Linked DNA regions of Tamandua tetradactyla. The protein of the gene in region 1 interacts with the protein of each later gene in a pairwise test. Links are inferred from orthologs where the notes say so. Each region holds a gene or a part of one and is shown on either strand. Other genes may lie near its edges. The genes, in order: DCP1A, PNRC2 and RITA1.

What was found.
Region 2: the proteins of DCP1A (region 1) and PNRC2 interact in binary tests that used the Homo sapiens proteins (3 or more experiments, as listed by UniProt). The link is inferred for Tamandua tetradactyla from reciprocal best matches to the Homo sapiens genes DCP1A and PNRC2.
Region 3: the proteins of DCP1A (region 1) and RITA1 interact in binary tests that used the Homo sapiens proteins (3 or more experiments, as listed by UniProt). The two-hybrid records come from large-scale screens. The link is inferred for Tamandua tetradactyla from reciprocal best matches to the Homo sapiens genes DCP1A and RITA1.

The regions. Positions count from the first base shown.
Region 1 is NC_135341.1:32,330,647-32,337,827, reverse strand, and holds the start of DCP1A (mRNA-decapping enzyme 1A), read right to left. Parts: upstream 3,022-7,181; 5' UTR 2,665-3,021; coding exon 2,425-2,664; intron 935-2,424; exon of another isoform or gene 814-934; intron 1-813. UniProt on the Homo sapiens protein: Necessary for the degradation of mRNAs, both in normal mRNA turnover and in nonsense-mediated mRNA decay. Removes the 7-methyl guanine cap structure from mRNA molecules, yielding a 5'-phosphorylated mRNA fragment and 7m-GDP.
Region 2 is NC_135328.1:202,314,004-202,321,924, reverse strand, and holds the start of PNRC2 (proline-rich nuclear receptor coactivator 2), read left to right. Parts: upstream 1-4,878; 5' UTR 4,879-5,194; intron 5,195-6,179; 5' UTR 6,180-6,385; intron 6,386-6,714; 5' UTR 6,715-6,732; coding exon 6,733-7,140; 3' UTR 7,141-7,921. UniProt on the Homo sapiens protein: Involved in nonsense-mediated mRNA decay (NMD) by acting as a bridge between the mRNA decapping complex and the NMD machinery. May act by targeting the NMD machinery to the P-body and recruiting the decapping machinery to aberrant mRNAs.
Region 3 is NC_135331.1:13,850,818-13,858,372, forward strand, and holds the start of RITA1 (RBPJ-interacting and tubulin-associated protein 1), read left to right. Parts: upstream 1-4,547; 5' UTR 4,548-4,664; exon of another isoform or gene 4,665-4,811; intron 4,812-4,987; 5' UTR 4,988-5,125; intron 5,126-5,550; 5' UTR 5,551-5,626; coding exon 5,627-5,916; intron 5,917-7,555. Other genes in the region: ATP-dependent RNA helicase DDX54, read right to left, coding at 112-300, 901-971, 1,782-1,908, 4,176-4,349. UniProt on the Homo sapiens protein: Tubulin-binding protein that acts as a negative regulator of Notch signaling pathway.

The DNA.
Region 1 (7,181 bases):
CCAACCCCAAAGAGCCCCAACAGGGAAGCAACACTTCATGTTTCAGATAAACTACTTTATTTATTAAAAAATTAACCACTTTTGGACAAGTGAAATAAGTCTCCTTCTCATTCCACCAAATACGGTCACCAGTTTCGTATGTATTCTTTCAATGTGATTGATGCAATAAGCAATGTTCATCTAGCAACAAGTCTGTTTCTGCAGCATTTTTTCTTTTTTAGCTTTTAAAGAAGAATATAATAGAATTAGTTTTCACTTCTATAATTTTTTTAGGTAAACATTTTAGCCAAAATATTTTAGCCAGATTTCTTCATCTTAAAGCCAAGGTCCTGTGTACAGGAGTTCTTCACTTTTACAGTTTATCAAAGCTAGAAAAAAAGAGAACTTTTTTAGTTTATAGGATACTTTGTTTCATTATTGGGAGATTTTGATATATTTTCATGAGCAACAAATCTCCTGGTTAGTTAAGAATTACTGTGAAACACAGTTTGCTATTCTTAGAACTTTGTTGAACAATGATGAATATTGAGACTATGATGTAATTATACCTCTAACAAATAATCTAAAATTTTCTTTAGCTTAAAGTGAAAATGTTTTAAGGAAGTACAACTCATTACTATCTTCATTTGCTTGGACAAGAGTGTATTTTGGTTTTAAACACAGTTACAGTGTTTAAACAAAAAATAACCATATAAGTCTGCAGTTCACAATGCAGGTTAAATTAAATATTTTAATGTAATCAACAAATTATTAGAAAAACTTTACATATTAGTCACACCAAACTGAATTTTTTGGGATAAAAAAATTTATCACCTTGATTTTTTTCCAGTTTTGTCCTAGCTTAAATCATCATGAATTTTCTCAAGGATTTTTTTTACTGTCTTACAGTAAAAGAAAACTTGCTCATTTACTCCATTGTGCAAGTTACGACCTACTAGTAAACAAAGAAAAGATTTTGGTTATATTCCGTGTGCCATGATTCCAATAAACAATGGCAGCTTATTTTTAAATCCAGGTTATTATAGTTTGTATTTCATATTTAAAACAGAAATCCACAATTAAAATTTCAAAGTACTGAAAATCTTTGTGAAGACTAGAAATAAAAGTTCGTTAATGAAAAATTCCAGCCCCAAGTCTTCACCATTTGTCCACGATTCACATTTGCACCCGACCACAAATTTATACGCAGGCTAAGAAAAGAAAAATGATTCACAACAATTCAAACTAAGGCAATGTCTACAACAACTACTCCTTGGGGGGGGGGGGGGACTAGAATTTTGTTCTTTGAGGCAAAAAGAACAACCTCCATCCCTTCCAGAAGGTGCATGAAATAAAATAAACTAAAGCAAGATTTTGAAAACTCTCTTCTTCCCAATTAACTGTTTAAAATTGTCAACTGCCAAATGATTTTCACAAAATTACTGGTAACTATAATCCATGCAGCAGTACTATACTGTAAGGGGCATATTACAGTGATAATCCTTCAGATTTTTGTTAGTGTAGGGTCTTATTTTTATTTGAAGATATGAATGTCAGCTACAGATGTTTGTAAGAAACACAAACTTTTTCTAAGTTTCAAGTCTATAACTGAGTCGATCAATTAGAAGAAAACAAATAATTAAACTACAAACTTCAAGCAGAGGCGAAGAAAGGTCAGTTAACAGATTGAATGCAACCTTTCGGACCTTCTCCCGTACAAAGAAGTCAAAATGTACTTAATCTGACAGGAGCACTCAGAGGTGACATCACCAGCATCTCACAGCTGGAACTAAACATATTTACAGGCGCTCCAAAAGTCTCAAGGCGACCCAGATAACATGGAGCCCTTTTCTTGTCTTGAAATCTTTCCCCAAACTTTGGAAATACAGTATAGTTGCATTAAATCCGGACTCACTCCTACTCTCCTCTTCCAAGAATTGAAACTAACTGGATTTCAAGCTTTAAATCTAAATGTCCTTTGCAGAGGGGACTTCCATTTTTGCATGTTGTGAATAGGAAAGGGGTGTTTATGTATCAAGTATACGTAAATTACTTAATATCCCTTAAAGCCTCAGAGACAAGCTTTCAGGTACCCCTCTGATTCCACTGGTCTTCTATCACCCCACACATCCTCAAAGAAGACAGGCTGACCACGACCCCGGCCCTGACCCAAAGGAACTCGACCCTGCGCTAACCCTTCCCTCCAGCTTCTTTTCCCCGGGATGTCTTGGGCCTACTTTCCTCGCTCCTCTCCCCACAGCCCCAGGAGGTCCTGACACGATTTCGGCTCCGATCGCGAACTTCACTAGTCCCTGACCTAGCTCACGCCACCCTCACCTCCCTTATCGCACCCCCTCGACCCCCCACCACTATGGCGGCCCGCGCGGCCCCTTTAAGAGTCGGTGGCGGCCGAGCGGCCGTTTTCCGTGGCCGGACTACACTCACCCACTGGTTGGCCTTGGGGCAGAAGGTGTATAGAGCAACCTGTCCCGTGAGGTCTGCGATGCTGGTGATATAGGGGTCGTGTCGCTTCAGAGCCGCCAGGCTCATCTCCTGCCCAGCTCGACTCAGCGACTCCATCTTGAATCCCGGAGCCGAGCCCCTCCGGTGGGGGCGGAGTCGAGGACCGGAAGGTGCCATCGAGGCAAAGTTCCCCAGGTGCGTCAGTACCTTCGACTTCCGCATCTAATTGTGGTGTTGCGGGGTGCAATCACTGTGTTCCGCTGCCCGCGCACTTCGGCTGCCAGGTTCCGGCATGTTCAGGTTCTCCCTGCCCAGCCCGACCGACGTCCGCTGTACAGCGTCTGAACTCGCGGCCGGATTCCCGGGCGGTTCTTTTCCGCGAGCATAAACGTCCCTGCACCAAGATCCGGGGTTCCTGCGCGTTTCAGGGTTCCTGCCGGAGGGGATCCGAGACTCACCCCAGCCCGCCTCCGGCTCTCGCGCGAGGGACGCAGCAGCGAGAATGGGGGACGCCACACGTTTAGAAAGCACCGAAAGACAGGGGACGCGGGAGACCCCGAAAATTACCCCAAATCTCACCAGATCGTCACCGTTTACAATCTGCTGTTTTCTGAAGGAGATATTTGAAAAAAGTAACTCACCTGAAACTTCATAGACGTTTTTATTGCTGCCCACTTTCGCTTCCTCTTTTCTCTTGTCTGAGTCTCGCGTAAATATTTCTATCCGGTCCTGGAAGGGCCCCATGAAGGCCTGAGTTGTGCATCATTTAAAAGGATTAAAAATACCACTCATTGTTTTGGCAAATATCTGTTGAAAATTCTGAGGCATTTTAAAGAGGCAGATGTTGTTGATAGTGAAAAAGTAAAACTAAGTCCAGAGACCACAGTGAGCTCTTGTCCCCACAGACTTGTTTAAAAGCAACATTTTTTCTTAAATTTTAAAAGATACGCTAACAGAGTTAAGCAAAACATTCGAAATTTTAAAAATCCATAATTTCATTAAAATAACACTATAAAATATGTATGTGTTTATGATTTTACATCCTAGGAGTATGTATTAATCGAAAGAGGCTCTATGTCTTACATTCTGTACAAAATCATATAAGAAGCACAGATGAGGCCAAGGAGAGTATCGCTCAGTCACCCTTCATTAAGCAAGTATTTATTGAACTCCCAGTTGTGGACTGGCTCCCTTGGGAGCTCCAAAGTCTATTGACAACCTCCTGGGTGTGGGAGAAATGAAAGAAGTAGAACAAAGCAAGGAAACAGGGATAATTAATGCTAGAGACTTTTCTGAAACACAGAGGATGGAGCCACTAACTCCATCTAGCCTGGCAATATAAGAAGGCTTCATGGAAGAAATGATGTTTGCATTGGAGTGCCAGTGAAGAAAGGTAAGGACTCCCTTTCATTTCATTTAACAGCTCAGTGCTGAGTTGGGGAAAATGTGGTCATCCTCACTGACAGATTATTAGTGTTATTTATTTTTTTTAATTGACAAGCCAAAACAATGTACAAACACGAACATTCTTAACATACAAACATTCCATACATGGTGTACAATCAGTGCCTCACAATACCATCACATAGTAGTATATTCATCACCATGATCATTTTTTAGAACGTTTGCATCACTCCAGAAACAGAAATAAGAAGAAAAAAGAAAAAAATCATAGTATCATACCCCTTACTCCTCCCTTCCATTGACCCCTAATATTTCCATCTACCCAATATATTTTAACCTTTGTTCCCCCTACTTTTTTTCTATACCCCTGTTCTAGTTTGCTAGCTGCTGGAATGCAATATAACAGAAATGGAATGGCTTTTAACAAGGGAAATTTAATGAGTTGCTAGTTTATAGTTCTAAGGCTGAGAAAATGTCCAATTAAAACAGGTCTATAGAAATGACCAATTAAAGGCATCCAGGGAAGGATACCTTGGTTCAAGAAGGTCGATGAAGTTCAGGGTTTCTCTCTCATCTGGAAAGGCACATGGCGAACACAGTCAGTTTCTCTCTTGGCTGGAAGGGCACATGGCAAGCAAGGCATCAATCTCCACTTTCTCTCCTGGCTTCCTGTTTCATGAAGCTCCCTGGGAGGCATTTTCCTTCTTCATCTCCAAGGGTCGATGGCTCGTGGACTCTCTGCTTTGTGGTGCTGCAGCATTCTCTGCTCTCTCTCAATCTCTTTCTCCAAAATGTTTTCTCTTTTATAGGACTCCAGTAAACCAATCAAGACCCACTCAAATGGGTGGAGACTGTCATCCCCTAATCCAGTTTAACAACCATTCTTGACTAAATCACATCAACCAGGGCAATGATCTCATTACAGTTTCAAACATACAGTATTGAATAGAGATTATTCTACCTTTATGAAATGGGATTTGTATTAAAACATGGCTTTTTCTTAGGGGGCATGCTTCCTTTCAAACCAGCACAACCCCTTACCACTCCCTTTCATTGATCACTAGTATTTCAATCAACTCAATTAGTTTTAACATTTGTTCCCATTATTTATTTATTTTTAATTCATATTTTTTACTCATTTGTCCATACCATAGATAAAAGGAGCTTTAGACACAGGTTTTCACCATCACATAGCCACATTGTGAAAGCTCTATCATTATACAATCATCTTTAAGACATGGCTACTGGAACACAGCTCTGCAGTTTCAGGCACTTCCCTCTAGCCTCTGTAATACACCTTAAATTAGATTGGGATATCTATATAATGTGTAAGAATAACCTCCAGGATAACCTCTTGACTCTGAAATCTCTCAGCCACTGACCCTTTATTTTGTCTCATTTCTCTCTTCCCCCTTTTGGTCGGGAAGGTTTTCTCAATCCCTTGATGCTGAGTCTCAGCTCATTCTAGGATTTCTTTCCCACGTTGCCAGGAAGGTTTACACCCCTGGGAGTTATGCCCTAGGTAGAGACGGGGAGGGCAGTGAGTTTGCTTGCCATGTTGGTTGCGAGAGAGAAGCCACATCTGAGCAACAAAAGAGGTTCTCTGGGGGTGACTCCTAGGCCTAATTTTAAGTAGGTTTAGCCTATCCTTTGTGGGGATAAGCTTCATATGAACAGACCCCAAGATTGAGGACTCAGCCTATTGATTTGGTTGTCCCGACTGCTTGCGACAATATCAGGAATTCTCCAAATGGGGAAGTTGAATTTCTGCTCTTTCTCACCATTCCCCCAAGGGGACTTCGCAAGTACTTTTTTATTCACTGTTAAATTACTCTGTAATTTCTTGGGGCATCACATTGGACAAACCTACAAAATCTCATGCCCTATTCAAGGTTCCATGTACTTATGGTGTTCAATTAACCTGTCTATATAGGTTATATTAGGAAATGTGCTAGTCAAAATATAAATTTTGTACCAAATAAACATTTTTTTGCTTTAGTCTTACACAGAAGTTGAAGTTTTAAAATATGAATGACCACCTATTTTCAGTACCCTGCAATATTGACATTCCTTTGTTCTTCCTCATGCAAAAACTTTTTAAAATTTGTACATTTAGTCACTATCATTATACACTCTAGGTATTCCTAGATTATACCATCTCAGTTTTTATCGTGTATCTTTCCTTCTGGTTTCATTTGTGCCCCCAGCCCTTCTCCCTCTATCATTCTCACATTCAGCTTCATTCAGTGTACTAACATTATTGTGCTTCGATCAGGTAGTATTGTGCTATCCATTTCTGAATTTTTACAATCAGTCCTGTTGCACAGTCTGTATCCCTTCAGCTCCAGTTACCCAACATCTATCCTGTTTCTAGCTCCTAGTGACCTCTGCTCTTAACTGAAATTCTTCAAGTTCATTCATTAATGTCAGTTCATATCTGTGAGACCATACAGTATTTGTCCTTTTGTTTCTGGCTAATCTCACTCAGCATAATGACTGACAGATTATTTAATTGAGGCCCTAGAGGAGAAATCATTGGCTCAAAGTGACACACTAATCAGAAGGCATCCAGTGATAGAATCTCAGGGCCCCTGCCTTCTACCCTAGGTTCCTTTCCGCTACTCCCAAGTTGCCTTTCTTCCTCACAGTGACAAGAAGCAGTTGCCCTATACCCTTTTACCTGCCTTCAATCAAGGGTTTCACGAATCTGTATCCTATTTTTTTACAAATGTGTATTTTTTGAATAGGTAATACATTCACTGGTACAAATTTCAAAAGGCATATCTGAAACAGAATACTTTTTTTCTCACACGAATTTCTTAAAATATGACATTTTCTTTTTATTTACTATTTTTGGTTGTGTTAGACTAGTGAAGAATACCCAGCTATTTTAGGGGGTTTTCATATTTTGAATAAAAAGTCACTTCACAAAGCATGTTTGCATGGCCCCGAACATGTTAATATTGACTTTCATGCCCTTTACTGCTGTAGCTCTTAGATATATTAAAGACGAAGTGAATATTTTGGAATTGAAAACCATCCTCATTTACCTTGAGGCCTAATTTTGCCTTATGTTTGTGAATTGGGCCTTAAGGTCTTTCTTGTGTCTTTTAGACAATTAGCTCTGAGAAGGCAAAGACTGTATTTTCGCCTGTTAGGTCTCCAGCACCTATCACATAAAGTAGACCCTCAGTAAATTCACTGAATGAATTTTGTCTTAAAACCCAACTCCTTTAAATCCATGCAAGAGAGTTGAGGAAGGGGAGAGGAAGTGGATGGCTAGGGTCAGATGTGGAGGGAGGTTTACTCTGCAGTGAATAACCCTTGGTCACTTT
Region 2 (7,921 bases), on another chromosome or scaffold:
AACCAGAGTGAGAAACTGGAATCACCTGAGAAGCTTTAAAAACACCAACTACCCAAGCTCCCACCCCCGAAGATTCTGCTTTAATTGCTCTGGTGTGGGACCTGGGCATCAGAATTGCTTAGGCACCCAGAGGAAGTTAAAAACTTGTAGGTCAGAGTCACAGGACATGTGGGAGTTTAGCATTGACTTCCGGTACCCCATTTAGTAACTAGAATAAAAGGGCTGCACACAGATTTGCAATAGCTCAGGAATGTGTGTACAAGTCAGAACACGCAGCAGATGCTTCTCCAGGAAACAAATTCATGATGTGTGAAGGGGTGTGTGTTTTGATACCAGTTTGGCAAAAAGATCAGGGTGCTAAGGCACGTCAAAACATCAGGTAGGTGTTTTACTTGATCCTTTTGATAGGTTCCAAGTTGCTTGATTTGAACAAGCCATAAGCTAACAGACCTGCAAACATTCAAAGTTGACACACATTGAACTCATAGATGAGCCTTAGGAAGCAAAAGAGCGAAACCAGCTTTTGTTTTGAAATAGACACGCTGGAGAGAAATGAGCCAGTCTGAAAGCTTGTCAGCCCTGGGTGATTGCCCCCAAAAGCCCAGGTACTCATGGGGTCTAAAATACAATAAGCATCAGCATATATATAACTTGTCCATCCTTCAAAGTCAAGTTTCAGAAATACTTTCTTTTTGCCTGCCCCCACCCCCACCCCCACTCCCACTCCTATTTACAGGCTGGGTAGGTAATGTTTACTTAAAAGTTTTGACAGATTTTATTGATCATGGCTCCTCACCCACTGATACTTAATTTAAAACAGATTCTTCCATGGTAAAAAATTTCAGCAAATGTGGGAATCTTCTCTTTCTCCCCTCCATTCTGCAGGGTTCCGTTTCATTATAACTTGTACCTTACTAAGTGGTGGGTGTTGGGGATTCTTAGTATATGGATTTTTATGCCCACAATTGGCATTGCCTGTTTTCAGTCTCAGGGGAACTGAGGGAATGAATCTCCCCATCATACTAGCTTCCTTCTATGATAAATACTAAAGGAAACATTTTTTTAAGTTCCTTTAGGACCCTGATGGAGCCTTGTTTGTGTCCCCAAGGCTTGGGAAAGTGCCTGGCACAAAATAGGCACCACATAACTCTTTGTTAAATACATACTTTATATTAAGTACTCATGTATTTATTATGCATTTATCTCCCCATGTTGGTGGCTGATCAGCATCCTGACAGCTGTTTGTTTGCATCAACATTTTCCTATTTGAACCACGAACCATGAATTGGATCCTGTTAGTGCAACTACCTTTAAAGATTGGCCTGGTTAAAAAGTTGAAAAAGTAATGAGACTTTGACTAGAGATATGGATGAAGCTGATCTGGTTAGGACTAAGGTAAATCAGAATACAGGGTAAAGGGTGATATGGTCCATATTTAAGACTTCAACTTCTGTGCGAGACCAAAGGGAGAGATGTTTATTTGATGCAAAATTTATATTTTGGGTAGTGTATTACCTAATTCAATTTGTATGGACAGTTTACTTGAACACCATAAGTACAGGGAATCTTGAATAGGGTGTGAGATTTTGTCGGTTTGTCCAGGTTAGTGTGATACCCTGATATATCCCAGAGTAATTTGGGCAATGAATAAAAAAGTATTTGCAAAGTCCCCTTGGGGGATTGGGGAGAAAGGATGAAATATTCAACTTTCCCATTTGGAGAATTCCTGATATTCTTGCAAGCAGGGAGGACAACCAATCAATAGACCAAGCCCTCAATCAACAAATGCGGGAATCTTCTCTTTCACCCCTATAAAACTTATTCTTGCAAAGTATAAGCTAAGCCTGCTTATAATTATGCCTAAGAGTCACCCCCAGAGAACCACTTTTGTTGCTCAGATGTGGCCTCTCTCTCTAAGCCACCTTGGCAGGTGAACTCACTGCCCTCCCCCCTATGTGGGACATGACTCCGAGGGGTGTAAATCTCCTTGGCAATGTGGGACAGAATTCCTGGGATGAGCCGGGATTGAAAAAGCCTTCTTGACCAAAAGGGGGAAGAGAGAAATGAGACAAAGTTTCAGAGGCTGAGAGATTTCATACAGAGTTGTGAAGTTGTCCTGGAGGTTATTCTTACACATTATATAGACATCCCTTTTTAGTTAGTAGTGTGTTGGGGTGGCTAGAGGGAAGTACCTGAAACTGTTGCGCTGTGTTCCAGTAGCCTTGATTCTTGAAGATAATTGTATAATGATATAGATTTTATAACGTGTGTGATTATGAAAACCTTGTGTCTGATGCTCCTTTTCTCCAGGGTATGGACAAATGAGTTAAAAAAATATATATATGGATAATAAATAAATAATAGGGGGGTTAAAGGGTAAAATAAATTGGATAGATTGAAATACTAGTGGTCAATGAGAGGGAGGGGTAAGGGGTATGGGATATATGTTTTACTTTTTTTCTGGAGCGAGACAAATGTTCTAAAAATGATCGTGGTGATGAATACACAACTATGTGATAATATTGTGAGCCACTGATTGTACACCATGTATGGACAGTATGTACGTGAGATTTCTCAATTAAAAAAAAAATAAAAAAAAGACCAGCCTGCGACAAGCAGAGGCTCTATCAGATGTTCTGAAGAGGGTTTTACTTGAACTGCTGTTCTCCAGTACTGGGCTATTGGGGGTTCTTGCGAAAGATTAATGAATGATGAGGCTGGTGCTATGCTTAGCAGGTGCTCACAGTCTGGGAGTCAGTAAGGGCTTTGGAAGCGTTCTCCCCAGGGCAGCCTGACTCGGCTCTTTTGGCAGAGAACTTGGTCCAACCCGGCTGCAGGGTGGGGCCCTGATACTGCCCTAGCAGCCCGGGCAACCCCGTCAACGTTCAGTCAGTGCCTGGTCTGGACAAAGCCCGGCTGAGCTACAGGAGAACAAAGATGCTGTAGGGAACATGGAAGCTGGACTCTGGAGTCTTGGGGTGTGGCTCCCAGCTTTAAACTGTCTGAGCATCAGATTCTTTTTCTGAACAGTGGAGATCAAAATAGTACTCACCCCAAATGGTTTTTGTGAGAATTAAATGAGATATAAGCAAAACCATATAGGGCAGGGCTTAGGGCAGAGTAAGTATTCAAAATGTCTGGTTATACAGATAAGATTCAGAGGTCTACTGAAGAAATGAAAGACGAATTTCAGATGGTGATGGCTTTGAATAATTTTCTAAATGTTTGGAGTTTAGACTTTATTCTAGAATACAGAACATTTGAAACAAACTGGAATGAATTTTAAATTGTTAACACATTCAGCTGGATGGAGGGGTAGGGAGAAACCAGAAGGGGTGTGAGTATAGAGGGAGTAAATTTGAAAGACATATTTTGATGTTGATAAAAAAGGAATTAGGAAAAAATGTGCAGACTGAAACAGACTATTTTACAAGGCATTATATTAAAATATATATTCTAAGGGCATTTCCTGAGATCAAAGTCTTGAACCCATTAAACACGCCATTGCTATTATCTGGCTGGATATCTAAATAAGATTCCAGAATTTCTGAGAAATACATTACAGTGAGCTAGCAGCTGATTTGCCATGTACACCTTATTTGACTATAATATAATTAGAGCCAGAAAGTCCCCCTACCCCAAAATAACTGTTCATTTGATTAATGAATTCCTCTTTAAGGTACAGTAACTCTTCTTAAGATCCACAGCTAGAACACGGGGTTTTGTGTTGGGTTGGTGGATAAGAGGTGATAGTAGCAAAAAAATTAAAGATTAAAACACAAATTACGTGGGATTTATAAAAGGTCAGTATATATAAATTATGTAACAAAAAAGTTCACAGATGTATGAACTGCGAGTGTAAAGGTAAGGATTTTGGACCATTTATCCCAGAATTATTCATACAAATAGAAGTTAGGGTCCTCTTTTAAAACAGTTTGGGTTGCTTATACATTTACTCCAAAGAAGTTGTCCTTTCCCCTTCCCTGCACCTCACTGTTACGTTCAGCTGAGTGACATATCTTCTGATCTCTTTTTCAAGTAAAAACGGGACAGAAGGGGAAATAAGGGAGGTCACGTTTTCTCAGCAAACCTTTATAGTGCATTTACAGTGAGCGGGGACACTGTGCTAAAACACACACACACACACACAAAACAAAAAACAAAAACTTGGGTTTGCTCCTCGAAGGGTATATGCAGATGTGTTGGGGGGTCGGGGAGCCAGGTGGATACACACCGTTGCAAGAACAATAAGGTGCGATAAAAAGGTAAGGAACAGTGGGGACACAAAGAAGGGACTGATAACCTTGTGTGCATGAGTCAAACGCCTTCACAGTGGAGGTAACTTGGGGGTAACTGCGAGCAGAGGGAACCGCGTGCTCTGGGACTGGCAAAGAAGCTCCCAGAACCGAGGGAAAGGACGAAGACAAGTGTCCCGAGCAAAGGCCGGACACGCGGACTGGGGCTCGGTCATGGAAAACTTTTTTTGTATGTTTTCCATATATAAAAAAATAGGTTACATGGCTGAGTGCACTTAACTAGGGAACCAACTAACCATCCCTCAGTCACTCCTCATGGGGGTTAGTGGAAAAACAGGCGCGCCGAATGGTCAGGGCGGCGGCGCCCGCGAGGGAAGCAGACGCTGAGGGGCCTCTCCAGGCGCGAGCGCCCACCGAGGGCAAAGCGCGGCCCTTGGGCTGCGCCCGGCGTCCGGACGGCGGCGTCGAGGCCTCAGAAAGGCGCCGCGAGAACCCGGCGGTCGTACCCCGGGCTGCGGGCAAGGCAGCGAGCAGCCGGCGGGAAGGGAAGCGGCAACCGCTACGGTAGGGAGCAGTTATTCCCGACATGCTCCTCTCGGGAAAGATTTCAAACCCTCGGCAACAACCACCTCTCCTCCCTCATTCCAGTCCTGCCCCAGCAACAGGCGGCTGCCCGCTCCTCATTGGCTCAACCCCACACCCTCGAGTCTCGATTGGCCGCGAAGCCTCCCGCCCCTCTCTTGCGCCTGCCTGGGTATCCATTTTGTCGGTAGAGGCAGAAAGGGGTGGTCTGGTCGTCCGACACTGTGGTATTCAGCAGGTAGTTGGTCGGTGCTGTCGGGCTTTGCTCGTTCCTTGCCTCGTCTCTCCCTGGAAGGGGAGTGAGGCTTCATCACCTAATAGGATCCGCTGCTGTCGCAGTCTTGAGCTTGAAGTCGGTGAGTAGTGGTGTCGCCGCGGGTGCGGCCATGTTGGTGCCTGCGCTCCCCATTGTTGGGACAAGGAGGCGAGTAGAGAGACGCTTGGAACCCGGGCGGCCGGGAGGGACGCGGCCCGTGGGTTGGGGCTCGAGAAAGGTGGAGCTACTTGGAAGCCAAGCTCCGCATCGAAAGACCCGAGTTTTCCGGGTTCGACTTGTAAATGCCGCAGTGTCTGGGAATCGTAGTTTATTATAGAGTTATAAAAAATGCCTGGAAGGCTGTCTTAACTCTTGAAAAGAAAGGGACTTCTTATTTGTTGGTTAATTTGGTTTCATGGTATATTAAATGAAAAAATGAAACCTGCAATGTTAAATGGTCCCAGTAGGGAGGTATATTTACGTTTTTGAAGATTGAAAACCGTTTTAGATTGTTTTGCTTTTGAATACTTATTTTAAAAGCAGTGGGAGTCTAGTGTGTTCATAAGCAAAGGAAACACTGATGTAGACATGTTGAAAGAGGTTTTGTGTAAAATTCGGATTTGTGGATAAGCTTGTTTTTCTTAGGGGAGGTAATAAAGGGTATGCATTTATGTTGAGTGTTGAAAGACTGGAGAATTCTGGTGGGCTTTAACATCTTACTCACTTTGGGAAGTTAACATTAAGCCAATTTCTTGGTAGGAGTGTTAAGGCTAACACTTTCCAACTTTGACTTGAACGTTTCCGGTCACAAAATCCTTGTGAGAATCTTAAAAGGCACTTCCCAGGGAAAAAGATACACAAACAGAACTTAACTGCTTGACTTACAGACACTCTTTTAAGAATTCTCCAGGGGGGTCCTAGATCTCGAAGAGAAGAGTTCATGATAGTAGTTACAAAATCAAAGAAAGCCATTTTAGGGGAACATATTTTCTACTTCTAAGGAAATAGGCCATCCTTTACAATTATTTCTGTAATATAAATGACCACTTTTTCCTACTGAATTTAAGTAATCTTTGCTTTTCTAGCTAAGACTTCTCTCAAACTTGTGTGCTGAGGAAACTCAGATGTTGGCCTCAGCTCCTAGGCTGAACTCAGCAGATCGGCCCATGAAAACTTCTGTATTCAAACAAAGGAAAGGATCTGTCAGAAGGCAACACCTGTTATCCTGGGCTTGGCAGCAAGGAAGGGGACTGGTAGTGGAAATCCTGCAATCTGAAAAGCAGACTGAAAGGTACAAAAATTAGAGAATTATATTGGGCAGACATTTTAGCTGAACTCAAATCCTAAACCAATTGCTTTCATTTTAAAATAGAGGGTTATTCGGATTTGTGGATAAGCTTATTTTTCTTAGGGGAGGTAATAAAGGGTATGCATTTAATGAATTCTGAATACCCTCCTTTAACTTGAGTTAAAGCAGCTAATAATTTAGGCCCCCAAGACTTCAGAATTACAAATTGGGGCTATAGCAGCTTTCCCCCCCCCCTTTTTAAAATAAAAATAAAAAACAACTGTGAACTTAATGGAATTTTACTCAGTATTTTGTTTTCCATTAATTTGCAGGTGACAAAGAACCTGAAGATGGGTGGTGGAGAGAGGTATAATATTCCAGTTCCCCAATCTAGAAATGTTAGTAAGAACCAACAACAACATAATAGACAGAAGACCAAGGACCAGAATTCCCAGATGAAGATTGTTCATAAGAAAAAAGAAAGAGGACATAGTTATAACTCATCAGCAGCTGCATGGCAGGCCATGCAAAATGGGGGGAAGAACAAAGTACATTTTCCAAATAATCAGAATTGGAATTCCAGCTTACTTTTTAAATCTCAAACTAGTCAGAACTATGCTGGAGCCAAATTTAGTGAGCCACCATCACCAAGTGTTCTTCCTAAACCACCAAGCCACTGGGTTCCTGTTTCCTTTAATCCTTCTGATAAGGAAATAATGACATTTCAACTTAAAACCTTACTTAAAGTGCAGGTATAAAATACTAATGTTTAAATTTAGGCATCACATTTAAGACTAGTCAGTTGGTCTGAAACATTCATCTATTTTATATTTGTGTAAAACCGCTAATGTAGAAAATATGAATAGATTTTATCTCACTTGTTTTGTGTGTTGTGGGCACTATGAGGTAATGGTACTATCAGTGCAACTTAAAATAATTTGTTGATTGCACTTGACGTTCTTAATTGATAAAGAAGTGAAACCATGTATGTTTAGATTTAGAAAACAACAAAGGAATCTTTTTCGGATGCTTTTTTTGGGAATTATCATACATGGAATAGATTTACTTGTTGAAAGCTAGTCAATCAGATTCCAGACATCTAGCTAAGATCATACAGAGATCAAGAACTAGTGAAATACTTGAAAGTTTAATGTCCTACAAACACCTGAACAAGTACCAACAACTTGATGCACTGCCAAGAGAAAATGTGAATTTTCCTTAATGAGTAGTGAAGTACATTGTAGTAAATTTTACAGTGGTTCATGTGGAAAGGGCACTTGGGGGCTTACTAGAATGAGGTGCACTACGCCCCAATGGCCCTGTTCTCACATACAGTGAATAGGTGTCTGCCAGTAAATGCTCCCAAACCATTTTTCATAGAAACAGTATTTGGTGGTCACTGAGTAGCTTTCAAAATACATTTTCTGTATTCTGTACAAACTTGACAGTGAGTGATCTGGCCTCAAATCATCCTTGTAGAGGTTGGCGCTAAGTGGGGAATTGTATAATGTGAGTTTTATGTATCTAGGGAAGAGCCAT
Region 3 (7,555 bases), on another chromosome or scaffold:
CTGTGGAGAGACAGAGAGAGGGCGGGGAGGGTGAGGTGGCCCGGCCCACTCCCGGCCCCCTGTCCTGCGCTGGCTCCAGCTCAGCCCCAGCTGCCCCGGCCCCTGAGGCACCTCCTTGGTGAACTTCATGGTCTGCAGGGCCAGCTCGCGGGTGGGCGAGAGGATGAGGGCGCGGGCCCCAGTCTGGGCACTGCGGGTCTTGAGCCGCTCGAACATGGGGATGAGGAAGCAGGCTGTCTTGCCGCTGCCCGTTCGGGCCATGGCCACCACGTCCTTGCCGTCCAGGATCACCGGGATGGTCTGGAGACGGGCAAGTGCAGGGGCTGGGTGGTGCCCAGAGGCCTTGACCACACACCCGAGTGCTGCCCAATCCAGTCTCCAGCCCCTGGGGACGGCAGACTACGGGATCTCAGGCTGCCACCCAGCCCAGTTCCCACTCTTACAAGAGCTTGTTTGTGCATCTGGGATGAGGGCACCACCCCCAATGTCTCCTCAGGGGGCACATCCTTCCTCAGAAGTCACGCCAACCTCCTGGACTAATCATTTCCCTTGGGGCCCCAGAGGAATGGGTGGTGATGCCGGGGCAGCGGCTCAGCAGTGGGCAGCCCGGGGAGGTGTGACTGGCACAGAAGCCTGGCTTCGCTCACCTGTGGAGTGAGTGAGCTCTGGGCTTCAACCAGGGTAAGAGGGGATGTAGGTGTAATGGCTGGGGCGAGGGGTGGCTGTCAGGAGGCCACCTGGAGGGCCACGGTGGCTCAGCAGGTAAGAGTGCTTGCCTGCCATGCCCGAGGACCCGAGTTCAATCCCCGGTGCCTGCCCATGTAAAAAAAAAAAAGAGGCCACCTGGAAGGGTCAGATCCCTTTCCTCCCCGTCCCTCCCGGGTAGGTCCCACTCTGTACCTTCCTCTGGATGGGCGTCGGCACCTTGTAGCCCTTTTTCATGATGCCCTTGAACACCGGGTAGCTCAAGCCTGGGAAAGACACGGGGAGGGTCAGGGGCTGGGGGCACCCCCGTGGCCGTGCCACTTCCCCAGTGGGGTAACTTAAGTGAGTCTGTCCCTGCCTCAGTGTCCCCATCTGTAATTTGAGATGTAGCAGTGCCTCCTAAAAGGGTTGTGAGGATTGAACAGAGGCGTTGTGTTTCAAGCAGATTATGTTCCATTATGGGTGTCTGATAAGTGTCAGCACCTTTTGCGATTAGCTCAGATACTGGGGCTGGTGGGAGAGGCCATCCTGGCGGGGCAGGGGAGAGGAGGCCGGATCAACCTCACCAGCCCCTGGGGATGCCTCAGACACTGCACCATCCGCTGTCACCCTTGAGACCCGAGAGCAGGGGCTAGCAAACTATGGCCCTCAGGCCCAAAACCAGGTCTGTTTTTGGAAATAAAGTTTTATTGGCACGCAGCCACACCCACTGGTTTGTTATCATCCGGCTGCTTCCACAGCAGTCCAGTAGGGGTGGCAGAGACACTGTGGCCTGGTACCTTACCATCTGGCCCTTTCACGAAAGCTCGTGAGCTGCTCTAGAGCCTCAGCAGGCCTTCTGTCCCCACTGGGGGCACCCTCAGTCCCACTGCCACCGCTCTGCTCCTGCTGCTTCCTCTTCCTGGGCCTGTCACCACCACCACAAGGCCCTGAAAGCCTGGAGACCCTATCTGCTGCCTCGGTCTCCCCAGCACCCACCACAGTGCTGGGCCCAGGCGGGCATGGGTTCCACTGGGCGGAGGGCACAGGGACGCCCTGCTGCTGCCCTGAGGCCCCCGGGCGCCTGGCTCACCCACCCATGGACTGGAAGCCTCCGGACTTCTTCTTCTTGTTCTGGGCGCGCACCATCTCCTGGGTGTCTGGTTCCACGTCCGAGGTGCACTCCGAGCTGGGGAAGGTGGGCAGGGGTCTGCCAGGGCCTAGCTGAGAGGGAAGGACGGAGAGGCAGGGTCGTGCCAGGCACAACCAGGCCCCAGTGGGCAGGGAGGGGGCCGTCCTGATGCCAGTTCCTTCCCCATGCCAGCTAGTCGCGCTCCTCCGGGATCACGTGTCCTCCCTGCTGAAGGGCTCTCCCTGTCTGGGCCGGGCTCAAGTGGCCCGGAGGTCAGGCCATCTGCATTCGTCACTCAACAGCTGCGAGACCTCAGGCAAGTGACAGCCTCCCTGAGTCTCAATTTGCACAAATGGAAAAGAGGGAGGACAAGAGCTTCTGCCCCACAGGGGTGTTGTGACGATTAAATGGGAAAGTGGAAGTTAGGACAGCGCCTAACACACAGCGGCTGGTGGCATTATTATGAACAACATCATCGCCGTCGTCATCCTCGTCTGTTATTCAAAGTCCTCAAAATTAAAAATTTTGGTTAATCAAAACAGCTACTATGTATAAGGGACTAGACTTTTCCAAGCTGTCCTGTTCCCTAACCCAGATCCTTTCCAGCATATCACCCCCAACCAACTCTGGTCTCCTCTCAGCCTATGCAGGGCACATTCATCCTTTAAGACACAGCTAAAGCCAACCCAGATGCCTCTTCCAGGGAGTCTTCTTGGACCACCCTCTTCCTTTAAGAAATAACACTCATGGAACACTAACTGATAATAATAGCTAAAACTCACACAGCATGGACTATAAGCCAGAGGTCGCTCTCCAGTCTTCTAAATTAACTCAATCTTCACAATAAGGAAACTGAGACTTGAGAGGAGAAGTGACATGCCCACAGTCACACAGCCAGAAAGTGGGGGGAACAGGTATCTGAACTCTGGTTTGGCTCCCCCATGACCTTCTGTGACCCACCACAACCCTTAGGTCAGGGCTGCAACTGGTTTTGTACAGCCCATGAAATAAAAATGGTTTTTGCATTTTAAAGAACTGTACAAAATCAAACAAAGTAAACAGACAGATTTTGCATGGCCCCACAAAGCCTAAAATGTTTACCATCTGGCCTTTTACAGAAAAAGTCTGCCAACCCTGCTTTAGATCTTGAAAGCCAAGTGCCTACCCATGCAGAGGCCTCGCAATACTTAGGGAACCGGGAAATGAACAATCTCTGAGGCGCATATAATCATCAGCTTTCTACAGAAGTGGAAACAGTGGCACAGAGAGGTTAAGCAACTTCCCCAGTGTCCCCCAGCCAGTCCAGGGTAGGGCCAGGTTTGAATGCAGGGCTGTGCCACAACTCCTTGGATGAACCACTACAGATCCTCTTTGGCATTCACCACTTCTAACCTCCTGTGCCATGTGTCACCTTTGGCAGTTTCTCCACAAACTTTACAGGGCACTTACTTTGTGCCAGGCACTGGGGGCCTTACCTGGTCCCTGCCCTGGAAGTGTGTAAGGCCCCTCCCTGCATGTGAGCATCCACTTATCCACGTATGTACCCAGGGCCTCCTCTGTGCCAGGCACCGGCTGGCACTGGGCTCTGGGAAATACGGGGTTACAGCTCTTCTGCCCCGTTGGTGCTCACAGCTGGCACGCAGTAGTGCAAACAGCACAGGTCCTGGAACCAGACAGTCCCAGGTGTGAATCCTGGCTGTCCCACTAACAAGCTGGGTGATCTCATCAAGTTACCTAATCCCACGGGGCCTCAGTCTCCTCATCTGGAAAGTGGAACTGACAGGATTTGGCTACAGGGCTGGTGTGAGGATTAAATGATAAGGCATATAAAGGTTTTCGCACAAAGCCAGCGATCAAGAAATCTGTTTAACTGATTATGAGGCTTCCCAGGAAGCTTGATGGCTGGGGTCACCGTCTCGGGTCATGCACTCGGGCCTCCCTGTTAATAACACCTCCCAAGGGTCCCCCAAACTTGCAAAGTCAGATCTTCCGCACCCGCACTTTTCATTGGAGGAAAAGGAAGAAAGGACTCGCCCGCTGAGCAGAGGAAGCCAATGAGGGGCGCGCTACTGCTCGCAGCTCTCGGCGCTCCGAACCCAGCCCGCCAGGCCCGCAGATCCCGGGCCCAGGAATTAGGAGGCTCGGGTGGCCTGGACCCGAGGGCGCGGCAGGTCCCGAGACACGTGCTTAGGCCACGGGGCCTGCGCCCCGGTTCCCGGACATCCGGACTTCACTCCCACCCTCAGCCGCCCTCACTCCCCAGCCGGGGAAACTGAGGCATTGCTGCCCCGAGTGCCCCGATCGCGGACGCGCCGCGTCCCCGGCCCCCAACTTGCGTCCCTGCCCGCATCGTTCCCACCTTCCGGGCCCGGGCGTCATCTTCTGACTGGATCTCAAACTCGCCGTCTTCCGAGTCGCTGCCGCGGGCCTGGGAAGCCGCGCCCCGGCGCTTCCGGAGCCCCTTCTTCTTCCTCCACTGGGCCATGGCAGCTCCGGACCGAGGCCCGGCGCCCGGGCGCGCGCCGGCAGCCATGCGGGCTCGGACGCACAGGGCAGGGAGGGGCGGAGCCTGCCGGGACGTACCAACTGTGCGGTGGGCGGGGGGGGGGGGAGAGCTCTGTCTACGGCCCTGCGCGTTGTCGCCTCTGCCGGCGGCCCTAGGATGCCTGATCAACGACGCTCTCCCGGCTGACGCGGAGGGCCCCTCTCCGTGGCTTTAGGAGAGTTCGAGGACGTCGGGAACGGGACGCCTCCCCCTCATGCCCGGGCAGGAATGGTTCCGGCCGCGTCCGCCCCTGCGCGCTGGCTGTTGTCGGATGCGCGCGTCGCCAGGGCCTGGCTTCTCCGGGTGAGCGGGTCGGCCTCGCGGTCTGAGCTCCGGGCGTCCCGGCTGCGGAGTCACGCGGGCTCCGGGTGCACCGCGCGCCCCCGCAGACCCGGCCAGGCCTGAGAGGGAGGGGGCGCTGGGGGCTGTAGCCCACACCCCCGTGCTAAGGTACCCGGCTTGGAGAATAACTCCAGAATGCAGCGACCTCGGGGATTAACCAGGGTGTTGAATTGGGGAGCGAGAAATGGGGCAGAGTGGGGGCGGAGGGTAGTGGTGAGTGGGAGGAGGGTCCCCAAAAGGCTCGACTTGCGTCGGGTTTTCATTGCGTTTACGTCGCTTTCTAGGCGTGACCTACACACATGACTTCACCTTGAGAAAGAAGCTTCAGTGTTGTCGTCTGTAAAATGGATGTGATGGACGGTCCCTCACAGGGCGGCTGAGAGGATTCAATGGGGCAGTGCTCTTGCAGTGCTTTGCACGGGGTGAGCCTCCAAGCAATGTTGTCTGTCATCCCCACCCCCAGAAATACATACGGGGTATTCCAGTAGGGACCTGTCCCTTTCCCGCTCTTGCTGTGGTTAATTTGTTTCCTGGCTGGTATCAAAATGGGCATAAGACCCATTGTTTCCTTCATCCTCCCTACCCCAGACAGTCCATAAATATTGAACAATCACTGTATGTTAGGAGACAATCCCTTTTCATTCATTAGATTATCCCTGAAGTGCCCCCACTCCACATCATTATAACAACTAAAAATGCCTCCACAAGTTTCTGAAACGCCACTGGGGTTGATAGCTCGCCCTGAGAAGGACTGGTGGGGGAGAACTAGATCCTTCTGCCCTTGGGGTGGGGACCGTAGCTGGCACTGCCACTGGTTCACAGATACCACCCTGATCCCCTTTCACAGGGAGCCCTGGAGGCGGGGCTTGGCAGACAGAGCATGCCCACTGTCACCCTTGTCCAGAAGCTGCGTGAGGACCCCCATGGAGCTGGCAGTCAGTGGGATGCAGACCCTCCACCTCCAGCACTGCTGCCGAGGCAGCCACCGGGTCAAGGCCAGGGCGTCATATGTGGATGAGACTCTGTTTGGCAGCCCTGCAGGGACCCGTCCCGCTCCACCAGAGTTTGACCCACCCTGGGTGGAGAAGGCCAACAGAACCAGAGGAGTGGGTGCAGGGGCCTCACAGGCTACAGGGGCCAACAGGAGCTGTGAGACCACCCCCTCTAGGGGCAACACCCCAACCCTCACACCAAGGAAGAAGAGCAAATACAGGTAGAGGAGTGGGGAGATGTACCGTTGTGCTCGTAGCTGCTTGGGTTCCTGTACAGCCTTGCTGCTCACCTGCTGTGTGACCTTGGTCAAGTACCTTGACCTCTCTAAGCTGTAGCTTCTTCATTTAGAAATAGAACTAATCATCCTACCTCCTGGGGTGGCTGAGAGGATTAAATGAGATGAGGCATACAATCCTTGGCATTTAGGAATCTCCTTGTCCTCAAATATTCCGTGAAATGACCAAGATGTGCTATTTCTGAATTTTAGCAAGTCATTTAGAAAATGGGTCTTGCTGCATTTTCATGAACAGGCTAGAGACACAGGAGCTGATACTTGTGGTTATTGTTGCTAGTTGATCAGATTAGGACCAGACTATATAGATTCAGATTAATATCAGCCTAGTGTCTAGTGGTGAGCCACAAGGCTCTGTCCTTTTCCCTGTTATCAGTATTTGAACAGAGACACAAGACTGGCCAATTAAATTTAGGATCCATTTGGAGCCAGGAAGGACATACATCAGATAAGAGAAGTGCAGGTAGGTATGATGCCTATTAAAGGAGGTAGAATTCATCAGTGATAAAAGGAAGAATTAGTTATATCTGGTTGAGGGTGATGTGTCTGGCAGTTTCTGTGGACCACAAGGCAGTATCAGCTTGACATTAACAACACTGACTCCTATAAGAGGCCTGCAAATGCTCATGTAAATGTGAGCTACATTAACAAAAGTATGGTGGGAGGGCAAGGGAGGTGCAGTCAACCCACGCTTGACTGGAGTTTGGCATTTTGTCCTAGATTCTGACAAGGTACATTATTAAGCAAAAACTTTGGTGCTAGACAGAAGCCAGCATCAATCAGATAAGGTTTGAGCAGCTACACCAAGTGGCAGAAGGTTAGATCTTGCGGATTGGGAATGGAAGCACTTTTGGTTCACCCCTAAAACCATGGGCCTGGCACTTAGTAGTATGCTGTAAATATTTGTTGACTTAATGAAATATCGTTGCTGAGTGAATCTGACTTAAAGTGGGGGTCCACTGATTTAGTGGTTCAGCACTTGGGTCCTCGAGTCAGGCTGGATTTGAATCTAGTTTCTACAACGTTCTGCCTATGAGAAACTTACCCACGCCTCAGTTTTCTTTTCTGTAAAATGGGGTTAATCATGATACTTACCTCATATAGACGTTGATGGAAATAATTGCCTCTAAAATCTCCAGTAGGGGTGAGATGGCCACAATCTACTTTGGGACTTACATCTTGCCAGCTTTAGCAATGCCAGATGGCAGAAAACACCTCTTTCCTATTGGTTTCAGCAAAAATCATAGGGGAGCCTCTCACTGGGCAGACTTGGGTGATATGCTCATTCCTGAACCAGTCAGTGTAGACAGCAAGATGGAATAAGCTGGCTGGCCAGGCCTGGTGGCACATGCCAGGGATCGGGGCCAGAATGCAGGGGACTAGATGCTTGGGAGGGGAAAAATAACAGAGATGGGGGCAGTGGTTCATGAGAGGGCTCTGACCTCATTGTCGGTGCCAGGCTGGGAGACAGAAGCTGCTGGGCTCTACAGTCAACCCTGTCTGCTGCTGTGGGTACCTGAGGGATGTCAAGGTGTGAGGGGTCATCAACCCCCAGCTCACTGCATTT